Lepisosteus oculatus: one gene and its partner. The protein of the gene in region 1 binds, or shares a complex with, the protein of each later gene. Links are inferred from orthologs where the notes say so. Each region holds a gene or a part of one and is shown on either strand. Other genes may lie near its edges.

What was found.
Region 2: cyfip1 (region 1) and wasf2 share a complex: the UniProt entries of both Homo sapiens proteins name them as parts of the WAVE2 complex. The link is inferred for Lepisosteus oculatus from reciprocal best matches to the Homo sapiens genes CYFIP1 and WASF2.

What each region holds. Positions count from the first base shown.
Region 1 is NC_090710.1:22,086,637-22,094,283, reverse strand, and holds the start of cyfip1 (cytoplasmic FMR1-interacting protein 1 homolog), read right to left. Parts: upstream 3,005-7,647; 5' UTR 2,758-3,004; intron 1-2,757. Other genes in the region: tubgcp5 (gamma-tubulin complex component 5), read right to left, coding at 4,477-4,523, 5,117-5,217, 5,718-5,806, 7,169-7,294. UniProt on the Homo sapiens protein: Component of the CYFIP1-EIF4E-FMR1 complex which binds to the mRNA cap and mediates translational repression. In the CYFIP1-EIF4E-FMR1 complex this subunit is an adapter between EIF4E and FMR1.
Region 2 is NC_090706.1:8,898,865-8,905,692, reverse strand, and holds the start of wasf2 (actin-binding protein WASF2), read right to left. Parts: upstream 3,015-6,828; 5' UTR 2,855-3,014; intron 1-2,854. Other genes in the region: probable methyltransferase-like protein 24, read right to left, coding at 5,965-6,276. UniProt on the Homo sapiens protein: Downstream effector molecule involved in the transmission of signals from tyrosine kinase receptors and small GTPases to the actin cytoskeleton. Promotes formation of actin filaments. Part of the WAVE complex that regulates lamellipodia formation.

The DNA of each region.
Region 1 (7,647 bases):
GCAATGCAGATATTTTTTTTACTAGTTCGGTTTTTCAATTGATTTGAAATGCCAGCGGTACTGAACGTTCTCTGCAATAATCCTATTATACAAAGAACCTACGGGGGTAGAGTCGCTCTTTCTTGGTTTGAATCAGAACTCAAATGCTGCAATTTGCAATGTTGTGGTCAATTTACCTTCAGTATCTCTTTTGCAAGTGTTCTAACAAATGTTTCCTCTTTTGTGCTAGAAGCTTAAACCACCAGGTACCTAACCAGCGTAATTACCTCTCACCCCCTTGTGAGATCAGCCAGGTTTGATATAGCAGAAGAAAATGCCCGCTTGGAATTCTTCACTCATTAAATGAGTACCCTATTCACCAAAGAAACCCTCATTACCACACAGCAGGGTGGGTCTATCAGAGAGGTATAATTACCCTTGTCCAAAACTGGAACCTTCTTCCTCCAAAACACCTTTTCAGCGGCGGAACAAAAAGGCAGCGCAGATCAGAAATCCAGGCAAACGTGTAAAACACTGACGAAAATCAAAAGAAATAAAAAAAGTGAAACTCCTCAAAAGCCAAATGCACCGTAAAATCAAAAAAAAAAGTGAAGGAGAATCTGCCGAAGAAATTGGTCTGAGAGAACCCCCACTCACGAGTGGGCGTGTAGGTGAGAATGAATGTCTGTCACACTGTAAACTGTGCTGGAACCACCCACACACAGGGGTTTCTTTCTCACTGGTGCAGCAGTGAACGTACGGAGCAGCTATAGACACAGACAAACACCATTATTTAACTCAACTCCCAAGGAAGGAAAAATTAAAACAATGGAGAGACCTTCAGGTCTAGATCTTTGCTTATCTGCAGCTGCACACCACAAAAGCAGACACAAACTCTGCTCTTTACCTTGTGCGCAACACACAAATAATTTACCACAACACACAAATCACAGCCTGGACGTTCAAAGTGTTTTAGAAAAGACCAAAAAAAAAAACATAAATACAGACAGAAGCTATGTAAAGACTAGAAGCTGTGATATTAGTACTAATTTATTGACGAGCGCTATAGAACAGCATATGTTTAATACATAAAATAGAACTTTGAAAAAAGAAAGGCACATAAAAAACTGACCATGTAAAACTGAATTATACAGCCATTACTTTAATAAAAAAAAGTTTAAATGAGATATAAAAATCTCAACAGTCACAGAGTCCGTGACGGATTAAAGCAGCGAGTTTGAGAGATGTGAGAAGGCTCTATTACCCACTTTGGGTGCAAATCAACTCCCAACAAATCATTTGTGGTATAATGCTAGATAAATTCTAGAAACACTATTATTACACCCTCCTAGCCAACGAGCAGGAAATTGCATTGTACAGATCTAACCCGTATCCAAAGCTATCACAGCACCCTTAAAACATTAGATAAAAAATAACGGTTCTCCGGTACAATACCAGGGAAAAATTAAAATAAAAAGGTACTTAAATAACTTTTTAAGTGCCATATAAAAGTTAGTAATATTAATGCATTGCCACAGCTTTCACAAAAGGGTGTAAGAAAACTTTACACCGATAGTTCCCCTTCATGACCCAAGTGGAATAAAAATCTGAAAACGAGCTGAATATTCGCATTACGAAGTTAAAAAGCAGGCAGCTCGCAATCCATTACGGGCTGTATTCTTGAAAGGATTTCATCAGGGCACATTCCCCTGCAGTTTTAAATCACAGGGCTGCTGTCTGAAGCAAGTCAGCACAGCGGTGCTTTCTCAATACTGTTCTTACGACTGCAGGGACACGTAGATAACCAGGCTCGTTTGTTTTTTTTCCCCCACCTGGAATGTTTTTTATAGTCGGTAGGAAATATCTATTAACCAATTAACGCATGAAACTGTACAGAGTTCGACGGTTTTTCTCCCGTGTTTGGGCTACCAGCTCCATATTTACAGTATCAAATATAAAACTTCTATGTGACCTCCGTGTACTATGAATCTTAATTCTGCATTTTTGAAAGGAAGCGCACCACCATCAAGGTAGTTACCCAGGCACCAAAAACTATATCTTTACCATGATATTAACTTTTCAGACCTCAAATTTAAAAAAAAAAACGCAAGATGTCCAAGGCGTTAACCATACTAAAACGATTAACTTGAAATCACACAGCTAAATGCTACTCTCTAATTGCAGTCTCCCAGGAAGCGCAGGCACGGTGTAAAGCAGCTAGCATGAGTATCAATTACAACTTACGACAAAAACTTTTATGCCACACTAAAATAGTCGCTCTGCCATCGCGTTAGAAGTTCCTCGGCTCACGGAGCAGCCGGAGCGACGCAAGTCTCTCGAAGACGTTTCGAGCCTCAGCTGTAGCACGGAAAGAAAAGTTTTCGAAACACTTCGAAAGATGGGGGGGGGGCTTGAACTTCCAGTTTACCCAATTCCGAGGCTGAATCCCGGGGAAGACGTGCGGTTTTTCCTGGCGATTCCGCGAGCAGCGCAGGCTAGGCTAGGCTAGGCTAGGCGGGGCTCCGGCTCTACGAAGTTTCCCAAAGCGGTGCGACCCAGCGGTCAGGCCCGGGAGGATCCCACTGCCGCCACCGGGGCTGGACGGGGGGGGCACGGCTCGCTCAGGCAGCCCACCAGCCCAGAACGAAGTCTACAGAATCCGACCCAAAGCCCGTAGGCAGAAAACCGCTTACAAATCCACGCAGCGCGCAAGTTAAAAAGCCCAGCATGTGGGGGGTAGAGGCAACACCCAAAGCGAAACAACACAAACTTTCCTACCTAAGCGTAACCCAGTCTTGTTTTCCTGGGAAATGGTGAGCGCTCAGGACAGAAATCCCATTCAGCGGGAGCGGAGCGCTGCGAAACCCGTCTGTAAGAGAGCCACCTCCCTCCGCTTCGGCCTTTCTCTGGAAACTTTTAGCTTGGTCCGGGCGGCCGTCTTCCTGTTGCGGAGGATCCCTGCAGCAGCTGACACCAACCTCGGCTCTGAGCCCGAGCTGGGAGTTCCTGTCTGCGACTCTCAGGGAGAAGTGGGACAGGAAACCCTCCGCCGCGGCGCTTTGCAGCGTCGTGCCGCTTGGGGGCGCTGCGGATTCAGGATGCCAGGGAACCACCAGAGGGCGATGAATAAACAACCCCCCCCCACCCTCAGCCCTGAGATTAAATGGGCTGGCCGGTATACGCCCAAGTCAAGTAACTGGCAAATCGTTAAAGTCTTTAAATAAATCCGGTTTTTAAGGATAAAATTGAATTTTAAAAAAATGAATCAAATCCCATTTTAAACCTAAATAAAACACACCCTATGAAGAGTAGTAATAACTATGAAATTATCAACCATATGATTCATTTCTTCAGGTCCTTCACTGCAGAGTTCCATTTGTTATTAATTCATTGTTATAAATTAATTTGTCTCCCCTCCACCACCACCAATGTGCAGCTTCACCTGGATGATGCAACAGCAACCATAGTGCACCAATATGGTGAGCACTCACCAGCTAACATTGGGGAGGAGAACAAGGTGATGGTGATTATTAGGAGGCCACGACTGGTAAAGACCAGGGGGAAATTTGGCCAGGACCCCAGGGTAACACACCCCTACTCTTTTCAAGAAACGCCCAGGGATTTTTAATGACAGCAGAGAGTCAAGATCCTCGGTTTTACGTCTCAGCCGAAGGACGGTGCCTTTTTACAATATAGAGTCCCCATCACTATACTGGGGCATTAGGACCCATACAGACCACAGGGTGAGCGCCCCCTACGGGCCCCTCTAATACCTGTTCCAGCAGCAACCTTAGTTTTTCCCAGGATGTCCGTTATCCAGGTCCTGACCATCTGTGAGCTGCAGGGTGACATAGCTGCTGCCTAATATGGTCAACAAAACACAGGATACCCTTCATATTCTCTCCCCCAATTTGGATTTTACAGATAACAAGAAAAAAATAAATGAGGGGAAGATTAACTCAAAGTTCTTTCTTGTCATAAAAACAAAAACAGGTGCAAGAATTTGACTCTTCAAAACAGTGCAGGTTTTATTAAGAGAGCAGAATTTATTGTGCAAACAAAAGTCTAATTCACTCTGCTATACAATCACTTTTGTAAATAGTGAATTATGAGCAAAAACAGCACATCTCAAAGACAGCAAAAAACTATATTTACATTTTCAGTACCCTGTTTTCTTATTGCCTTCAGTGTCTCAATATGAGCACCCGAGGTGAAGGGTATTTAAGATACTCCAGTAGCAACTGAGCACTTTTTTCTCCCAAGAGCACAAGAAACAGTAGCAAACGTCTGTCCTTGTTGCATTTGCTAAGCAGAAATAAAGTCAGAGGCCTGTTGTCGGAAAGGGCTTCCCTTGCACTTTGATGTTTGAAATCCAGATGGCCACGAAAGAAAAAATAAGCATTGTGAAAGAATGCCTTGCAGACATTCCATGATTCTTGAGGATCTGTAATGGCTCAAAGCGATGCAAGGAGCTTCACAGCTTTCTGTAGCTCATCCTCAACACTGCTCAAAGCCAGCCATCAGAGACAGAGCCAAGGACTCCACTGAAAAGAGGAGTGAGAAGAACCAAATTAGAGAACACAAAAATCATACAATGCTGTGCTTTTCTTAGCTCTTTTACCAATAAAAAGAATAAGTTGCAAACAAGAGGTGGCCTTGAGATCTATCTGTTTGATAGTTATTAGCAAATCAATCCAAAGATCTCATGCAGCCTTTTTTTGTCTTGGAAGAAGGGGCTTCAGCAACAGGGCTGGATAGAGCAGATACTCTAACAACCCTTAGTGCTTGCACATAGTGGAACTAACTAATGCTACAGCTGAAACCCTTTTCCATTACTTTTAATTATTTTGGTACAAACTGTTTTAATCACTGATACACTGCTTCTGTTTAAGACTAGAAGATGCTGTACCTGTCATTATCAGTGATCACATAATACAGTTGACAAAAACTAATTCAGAGACATCATACATTGCAGATAAAAACAATTTTAAACTTTTAATTGATAACTTTTGCCAGTTAATCACAAAGCAGAATATGACCAGTGAAACATCTGATTAACTTTGGCTCATTCACTCTTTACAAACAGCAGAAACTGAATTGCCAATAAAACATTTAATTCGCTTTCTGTATGACTCACAGTGTGGAAAGGAGCCCCTGCAGACAGCTTTGTTGAGTATAGTTACCAAGAACATGTGACAGTTCTTGAAATCTGACTCCATCTTATCAATAGACTCAATCCTAGAAATGCAAAGAGTTCCAAGATTAATTTGAAAAAAAAAGTATCAATGTTATATTAACAACTAAAGATTTCACTGCACATTTGTAGTTTCTCTGAAAAGGCTTCGTTAGAAAAAACACACATATACTGTATACACACTCATTTAAAACAAATGTGAAACAGTTTCTTATGGTTCTGATGTTCCAATGCATTTCTAAGCTAAATTAAATATAATTTGGAAAACCTTTCTTAGAGCAAAATACTTCCTGTCTAAAAATACCTCATAAATATCTGTATTTTAGCTCAGTAACTCAAACTCAATCATTTATTTCCGGCAAGTTTGACAACTATTTGCTTCTTTCACTGTTTGATCTTGGACAACCACCACCTTGCCTACAGTAGAATATCCTGGTGTTTTTAATTATAGAAAACACAGACAAATGTCCAGTTAACATGGTATTATTTACTGAGAAATCAAACCAATACATGCTTGCGTTTCATTAAGGGTTTTAATACTTACTTCCAGGCACCAAAGCCTGCCTGCCACCGATCTGAGAACATCAGGGCGAGATTCAGCACCTTCATTATTGCCTCCTTCACAAAACTAACCTGCAAAACGCATTGCCAAGCAAAAAAGTTTATTTTACTTTTTTTCTGAAAATTGTAGTCATTGCTACGTTTGTCTTTTGCTCCAACAATCATTTAACTATGGATTCTATAGTCCACCATTTCTGTGTTTTACATGTCACAATACAATAAGACACAAAGCAACATAAGACGGGTTGCAGATGAGAAGATACCACTCGGTAGTCAGTAGTTAACTCATGTAAGGATCTCATCCAGCCATTTCTTGAAAGAAGTCAGGATGTATGAAAAAGGCTTAAAGGGAAATTGCAGTCCCAATTTCTAAGACCGGTATTTAAATTATTAAATGTTATAGAACAATTTTACACATAAGCACAAAATAAGCACAAAATTGTGAACTTTGTGAAAGTACTGGAAGTCGCCATTTTATCACAAATCTCTGGTCTCACCAGGGGTAATAGCGAGAGTTCACAAGTATTGTGACGTGATGTGGCCCTTCTTGCTCACTAGTCACCATAATGACTGATGTAATGCGATGTACGAGTGAATGAGTACAAGTTGTGACGGGGACATTTCACTGCAGAAATGTTCCAACCTGATCTGCATGCAGAGTTAACAAGTAAGTAGTATTTGTCAGCAAAACCGTCTCAAAGTCAAGAGCAATATTTCTATTGGACTAAAAGTGATTTATTCACAAGCCTGCTCGTGTACAAAGTAATAGGGGTCACTTCAGTTCACCGGAAGTTTTGTTGCCTTGTCCTGAATCGCAGAACATGGTGATGCGCATACCTGGAAAATTCAGCTATTTTGTGAAGTAAATTGGAGGTTTTACTCATTATTGTATACATTTTTCTTTCATTTTGGTTTGAAATGCACTCATCAATGCCGATTCTTTATTAACCCCAAATATAATAATAGCATTGAAGTTCTCATTAAACTACTTGGGATAGGTAGCTTATCCTACAATGCTACAACCCATTGGATAAAGACATGCCTCCTGTTCTTGTTTTTAAAAACACTTCCATATAGTTTCTACTTGTCCCCTCTAGTTTGTGGTTCAGTGTTCATTCTTGAGAAACCTGCTGGGTTGAGGTTGTCAGGGTCTTTGAGGATTTTGAACACTGAAAAGGTTCAGTTCCTTCAGCCTGTCTGTGTAAAGATGTTGTTTTGAGTCCAGGGGTGTATCAGGTTGCTTTTCTCGGGACAGACTCCAGTACAACCATAGGTTTACCTACAGTATATATGGAAAAGTACAGTTCAAGAGCAATATGGACAAGTGGAGAACATGCATCTGAATTACACCTCCTCTTTCATAAAAAGCACAGTAGACTTCAAGGAAATTCAGTGTCCCTTAGTAGTTGTGAGTTAACAGAGTGCAAGACCTACCTTCTCTCGGAGAAGACAGCGGTCGTGAATGGTGGAGAGGTATCTGTAATGGATTTTAATCAGCTGGTCCAAGTCTTTAGCCTCTTCCACTTGGTGCTGAAACTCTAAGCCTGTGCTGTGCAAAATCTGACAGAAAGAATATACTGCTGTTTAAAACATACAGAAAGTATTTTAATACTCCTGCACCTAAACAGGAACAATAAGATGCTGGCTCAAACTTAAGTATCAGTTGTTCTCCTGTTTGTTACTTGACAAAAACGTCCCCTTTTGTGGGGTTAAGGTGTTCCATACATTCCACCACTGAGCTGTTAAAGCGTGTCTTTACACCCAAAGGCTAGACAAAAGACTACTGAAAATCAGAGCACAAAAATCATCTGTAATGAAGGCCAAGAGTCTTTGTGCCACAGTTAACATTAACATGGTCAACATGGTCTCTGCATTCCATGAAACTGTAGCTCTTGTTATTTGGCAGGCCCAAG
Region 2 (6,828 bases), on another chromosome or scaffold:
GAATCTGCCTATGCTGAGGCCTGTAGACTGTATATAAAACTGGAAAATGAAAACAATGTGGGAGATCAGCCATGTACACATGCTGCCATTTCCAAAATGAAATCAGAGAAGAACCAGCTGCTAAACATTTGCCATCCTAGCTGGGACCCTAAAATTGAAACTTCCTAAACACAAACTAGGAAAGACAGAAATATGTGACATCAGGTGGGGTACCACATTAACATATTGATTCATGCTATCAGGTACCATCTACCGGCAAATGAAAGAGCTCGTCTCAGGCATTTGCCTGGCTGGCTTGAGGAGATTAAGACAGACTTTGTTCACCTTCTCACAGTCTTGCTGAAAACCGGTGGAGCCTGTGAAAAGGTGCAGTTCAGCCCCACACTTCAAGACAAGGCAATCCTGCTGGAAGAATGGGAAAGGACTGGGCTGCAAGAATTTCAAAACCTGGTGGAATACAAGTCACATCCTGCTCAAGCTGGTCTAGTGGCTCCCCGAGGTCGATCAGATTAGTCACTGGTGTTTCTATCACTAGGGCCGGCAAATATTTACCTATCTTTACTAAAACCCACTAACACCACAGCAGACCTTAACTTGTAATTATCCAAATTATTATAAAGCTGCATAGATGAGCATAGGATGGCTGCCTACAGCTGCCACTTGCATTTCACAGCCAATCTATTCTAATACACATACCCATTTTCAGGACAGAAATTCAAAGAATCGACATTTCATGCACATAAAAAAAGATTAACCATTTAGCAACAAATTTTAAAAATAGAAAAGTTAGTTCTATAATAAACTATAAACCATGTTACTACAGTTTTATTCAGAGGTAACATCCTATAGGAGTACCCCACAATGGGCTCTGTGCACAATAACCTCTTTTCAAGAAAATGTTGGCATATCTAAACACAAAATGAATGGGAGGTGTCAATTTTATTATAATGCCAATATTGTCCTACTAGCTATTTTCTGATTGCTGCATGCAATTCAGGGTCACGAGGGGAGAGCGAGTGCCTATCCCAACAAGCAGCGGACACAAGGCAGGGCGCACTCTGAACGGGACATCAGTCCATCCCGGGGAACACACAGCCCCAAACAGACATGCACACACTCCTACCAGAGCCACTGTTCCCAGGAGCCAGGTGACCAAACACCATGTCTCTGGACTGTGTGAGGATACCCACACCAAGACACGGAGGACCTACAAACTCACACGGACAGCACCCCAGGGCCCGAACCCAGGGCCCCATGGCAATACTGGCCACAGCAGCAACAGGCTGCCCAGGGCCGGTATTCATTATATAAAAATAAATAGATCTGCAGATCCACAGATATATGTTGACGGTGGACAAACACTGTACTGTGCTGAAGAGTTTTGATTTTTAGGCACTGCTTGGATTGAAAAGTTCCTTCGATTTCTGGGGATCCTCTGCAGGGTTGCTCAGAGTTTCAGCGTTCCTGCTAGGGGGTCCCAGAAATATTTGGTTGAAAGAACCCCCCTGTGAGAAATCCAGTATGTGTTTACAGGAGTCCACATTTAGCAAGTAAATATCACACTTGCATTGACTAATTGCACCAACAATTGGTTTATTATCGTGACAGCTGGGAAGGAGTGACAACCACAGGATGCTTCAGCATTACAGGGATGGGACTGGAGACCTCTGCAGTAGTAAAAGCAGTAAGACATCACATCTATAATTACTTGTCAAAAACACTTCAGAATTTGTATTAGTTATTATTGCAGCTTTCCCTGCTTGGGTTCTGGATAGTTTAGTCTTAAAAGCATTTAATCCTTTTTCACAGCAAGTCAAAACAACTCATCCGCTTACTTAAATAGCACATGGTATTGTCAGGCTAGCTTTTCGGTCTTCTTTTCGATTATTGTGTTTCTAATCACTATTAAACCCTGGCCCGGAGTGTACAAGAACAATGATTATCCTCACTCTCAGAAAACCCACATGAATTACGAGTTTTACGCCAATGTCTATTGAAATTGTTCATAAACCTTCCCCTTTCGAGTAATCAACCATTAGTCTCCAGTACTGTAGTAGGCTTTGTAATCTTCAACGGAGCAAAACACAAATTGTGTTTACCAGGCAGTACTTATCAATTTCTAATTTGGTCGTTATAACGGACTATTTTCTGTGTTGGGATTTATCTTCGTCAGGTAAAGGGGGATGTATCCAAAAATTTCAAAGCGAATAAAAAAAATACAAATAAAATTATTATTCCTAATGACAATATAGTGCATAGGTAACGGATAAATCACCTGTACCTCGCACTACAGTGGGCTTCGTAGGTATCCACTAAAGTGAAGTCTACTTATTAAACACTTCCAGGATAGTTATCAAGGCCTATCACGGTTTCCTTTTTTGAACCATTGCCTCATTCAAAGTTCAGACACCGTTTCTTTCAGAAAAGTTTTCTTTTACGTTTCACATATCGTAAAGAACATTCAACTCAATCAGTAAAACGAATCGCTGCAAGTAAATCGCATTTTTATAAGGCAGTTCGATGCCGCAGTGAGCTGCGAAAATTAAATGTGTGGTTTTATCGTCAGTGATACTTCATACGATCTACGTAATCCCGGATTTTAACAACTTTATTTTCTTTCCACATCACTGAATTGTCTTTCTTCGTCCCGCGGATCACTAAAAACACTTTTTCGAAGGGTTTCTTGTCAACTTCATGGCTCCCAATTTAGCAGGAAGTAAAGTGAAACCACCCATAATTAAACTCAAGCAACTACAGTAGACTACCGACACAATGTTGCAGACACGAAGCAACATTGTCTTTTTACTCATAACTCCCCCATACCAGAAAGTATTTAAAAACGTAGCACTCATACCGTAAAGGAAAAGAGGGTCCGAGAAAACGATCCTTTCTGCTCTCACATAAGGCTTTTACCAGCCATCATCTCAACTCGCTTGAAGTTTTCCTAAAAAGAAAATGTCTAGATTTGATAGCTGCTTCAACTGTAAAACCGATTAAGCAGAACTACGCCAAGGCCCCGCCTACGCATACTTGTGATTGGACCGCGGCGAGGATACTGGGAATTGATTCGCTCTCACTCACGTCAGTTTCAGTTCAAGGAGGACCATGAAAACTTGGACGTAAAATGCGTAACTCCACCCGAGAGAGGAGTAAACATCTGTAGGGTTTTACCGGCTTCGATCGAAGAGGATTCGGGGGAAGATAATGATGGACTGAAGCGTCCATGTAATTTAGCTTTTTGGGGGTCAGTTCACGAAGACGTGCGTTAATAGCATTGAATGGGAGGAGATCGTTGCCCTGTATCGCGTTTTCTCTGAGTTCTGTATTTCTGAGGAGGCGTTGTGCATTCCTCAGCCCGGTCTGACGCAATGAACGACTTCTGAGGGAGTGCCCGTCGGGGACACGGAAACCTACAGTATATGCCTGCGTAGTGTGTTATAATGATGTCACGTAATATTTGCATCACTGTAATCAAATGCAAACGTGACTTAATCGGTCTTGGCTGATAGACCGTCTTTTAAAATCAGCATTACTTGTCTCCGTGCTCTTTTGCAGCTGTTCACGAACAACAGCGATTTACTGACTGGCTATCCTGCCCAATATTATAACGTTTTTAAAAATGTTAAGAAGAATCTTTAATTCAGCTTTTTGTTTAATAATTGTACCCATCAATCACGTGATGACGTGTTTAATTTGGGAGGGCCTTATTGTGTGTTCTTGAAAAGAGGTTTTCGTGCACATAGTCCATTACATGGTACTGCTGTATAATATGAGGAATAAACCTGATGTTTCATGGTCCAAGAATTAGTAAACAAAAAATCCTACTTACATTAATAACAAAAAAATAAACTGTTACAGAACAGTTTGTCTACTGTGTCAAGAATGCATGAAACAAGAACTCGGATGTTATACAATGTCATTTTATCAATCCCTAATTCAATCACAGAACAATATTGTTTTAAAAGATAAAGGTCATTCCACTCTGGACTTCAGATTATTTTATGTGAATCAGTTCTTCTCTAAATTGCTCCGCATTCTCACTGTTTCCAGGACTTGAGTCATTGATGATTTTGCGTTACCTGTAATTACCTGGGTGACTGCAGCCCCCTGGGCGCAGGAGTGAGTGTCACTGGTCGAAAGGCTTGAAGACAATGTAACGCTTTTGCAGACAAGTTTGTATCAATCCTATGTTTCTAGTTTAGCTTGGGATTTGTGTCTTCCTACAGTACTGTACGTCTCACACTGTGCTTGCTTCTCTGTGCTGCAACGCGTAAGGGTTGTGTGTTTGTGTGCTCCCTGCTCGCAGGCTAGGGTGTTCCCTCCTCGTTGTCGTGTTTCCTTTATGAGTGTTTATTCCTCCTCAGAGGCTTCAGCGATCATGGACATTTTTATTCCCTCGCGGTCCTTCCCCGAGGAAGACTCCCACGTCCACGTCGACTTCGGCGAACATGAGGAACCTCAGAAAAACTAAAGCGACAGCAGACTGAACCCTGAACGGACATCTTGCTAAGACTTTATAATCATGTTTTTTTTTTATTTCCCAAGTAATATACAAAAAAACTTACACAAAAGGTGCCAAAGACAGAAAAGAACAACAACAACAAAAAAACAACAACAACGCACAAAGTTTTAAAAAATTAGAGCTTTTTTTTCCCGACGGCAAGCGATGTCTTCCATTAAGCAGGGGATTCCTGTCCGAGTTTACAGTACCAGAAAACAAGTCCCATTTCCTTTTTAATCTATTACCAGTAGAGGGCATCTAGATTACACATCTCCAATTACATTACTTAAGCAACAAAGCTTTACATTGTCTAAATATCACAATATTAAGGTTTAGGATACACTGGTCGGAAGTGAGAACAACCTGGAAGCAGAACAAATTCTTAGTGTCCACGTTGTCAACTTTCTATTGCCTTTAGCGCCTTCACTCGTCATGAGTGCTTGTCACCAAATGTAAATATGAAAATTAAAACAGCTTGAATGGGATATAGCCATATTTCTCCATAGTACCCTTTTACAATATTTCCAGTAGTTTTATTAAAACATGACACAGGAGACTGTATCCTTCGATTTACTTCACAGTTCCTAATTTGAAACAGTTTCACTTCCGGTCTTAAACACTTAAAACTTTGAATCAGGGGTCACCAGCTTGTGCAAAACATATAAGTATATACCCTTGTATGTTCCTTTATTCTCACAGTGCAATACCAGATTTTGGTACAATGACAAAATAGATAAGCAGTAGGTAGTCACTAAATGTTTAGATTGTTTTCTATTCTGCAGTATAGAACTGTGATATGGTTGTGATAAAGCAATGAAAATGCCTGTGTGCAAATATTTGTAGCGTTTTTATAGACTGTATGTAAATTGTTTTAAAAACCATTTGAAATAATGTGTAAAAATAAAGTATTGATTTTGATTGTTCTTTTAGTTGTTGTAGCATTTCTTATTTAAATACTTTAATTGTTTATTTTGTGGTTCTTTCTTTGCCATTATGTAAAAGTGGCTGTTGATCATATGCTAATTAATCACGAATCAAAATTAAGGTTCACTGATCCACTCAGCACTGACTCCAGTCAGTGTTGCCTCTTCACCATTCTGGAGAGACAATGTGCATTTTGACGGAGGTGCAGCCCTTGATCTACATGTTAAATCACATGTCCCAAAATCTATCCAAAGCACATAGAGGCCTATGGCAGGGGTTCCCAGTCCTGGTCCCAGTGGCCCAACACCAGGCAAGCTCTTGCAATCATGCAATCAAACCTTTATTTGACTTCCTAATAGGATTAATTCAAAGTTTCTGGCTGTTTTTCAGCCCCTAAACATGCATTTTGCATTTCTCAAGTATAACTTTAAATTAAACCAAAAAGCCTGTGAGTAAGAACTTGTTTGAAGGAAAACTCCAAAGACACTGTTCCTGCCAGACCAGGATTAGGAAGCACTGCGCTGGAGAACAACGTGTGCTTAATAGCTCCACCTCGTGTTGACCCAGCTCAGCATGTAGCTGCTGCTGGCATTGGGCAGCGCATGGTGCAGTATGGCCTGGCCAGGCCCCCTGGCACTGTGCAGCAGGCGATACCCGCTTGTGTGCAGCTCCTTCATCAGGCTGTACCAGAACCGCACAACCTCTGCGTCGCTGCCCCCCACCTCAAACCCGGCCCACTGTAAGTGCACTGTCAGAACCAGCTGCTGGATCTGCGTGAGGGTGCCATCCAGAACCCAGCTCTCCACAATCCTCCACTCGGCGCTCTCCAGGTCCGCTTGGACAATCTCCACCTGATCCGAAAAGAGAGAGAGAGCGTAGGAATGTGATGCAAGAGATGGAAAGAGCACACATGTGGATAGGAAATAAACATGTGAAAAATAGGATGAACATATATATTTTCGGACAGCAATGACAAAGTGGTTGACCTTCCACTTAGTCTCCAGGTATACACAACAAGTTGCTGAAGAAGACTGCACTACAACAGCACCCTCTAGGAGACACAGTGTCTCTCTGCTGCAATGCCAGAATTCTGTCTTTGCACCAGCCTGGGCTTTCTTTACAAATGCAGAGTCTCTGTTCGCCCCAGGGAGCAGGATGTGAAGACCATAACCTCCCTGAGCCCTAAAATCCCACACAAAACATTCATGCTGGGATATTCTTACAGAGAGAGTGCTCTGCTTGCGGCCTTGCGCAGAGCAGGTGGGAGACTTTTGAACATCAGGAAGGGCGAAAGGAGCTGATGAATTTCTGTGCTGATACACAGCACACTTATCGGGCATATTCTTTTTGACCTGTGTTGCGTAGATGAAGCACGACACATAAAAGCTGCTGACATGAACTGA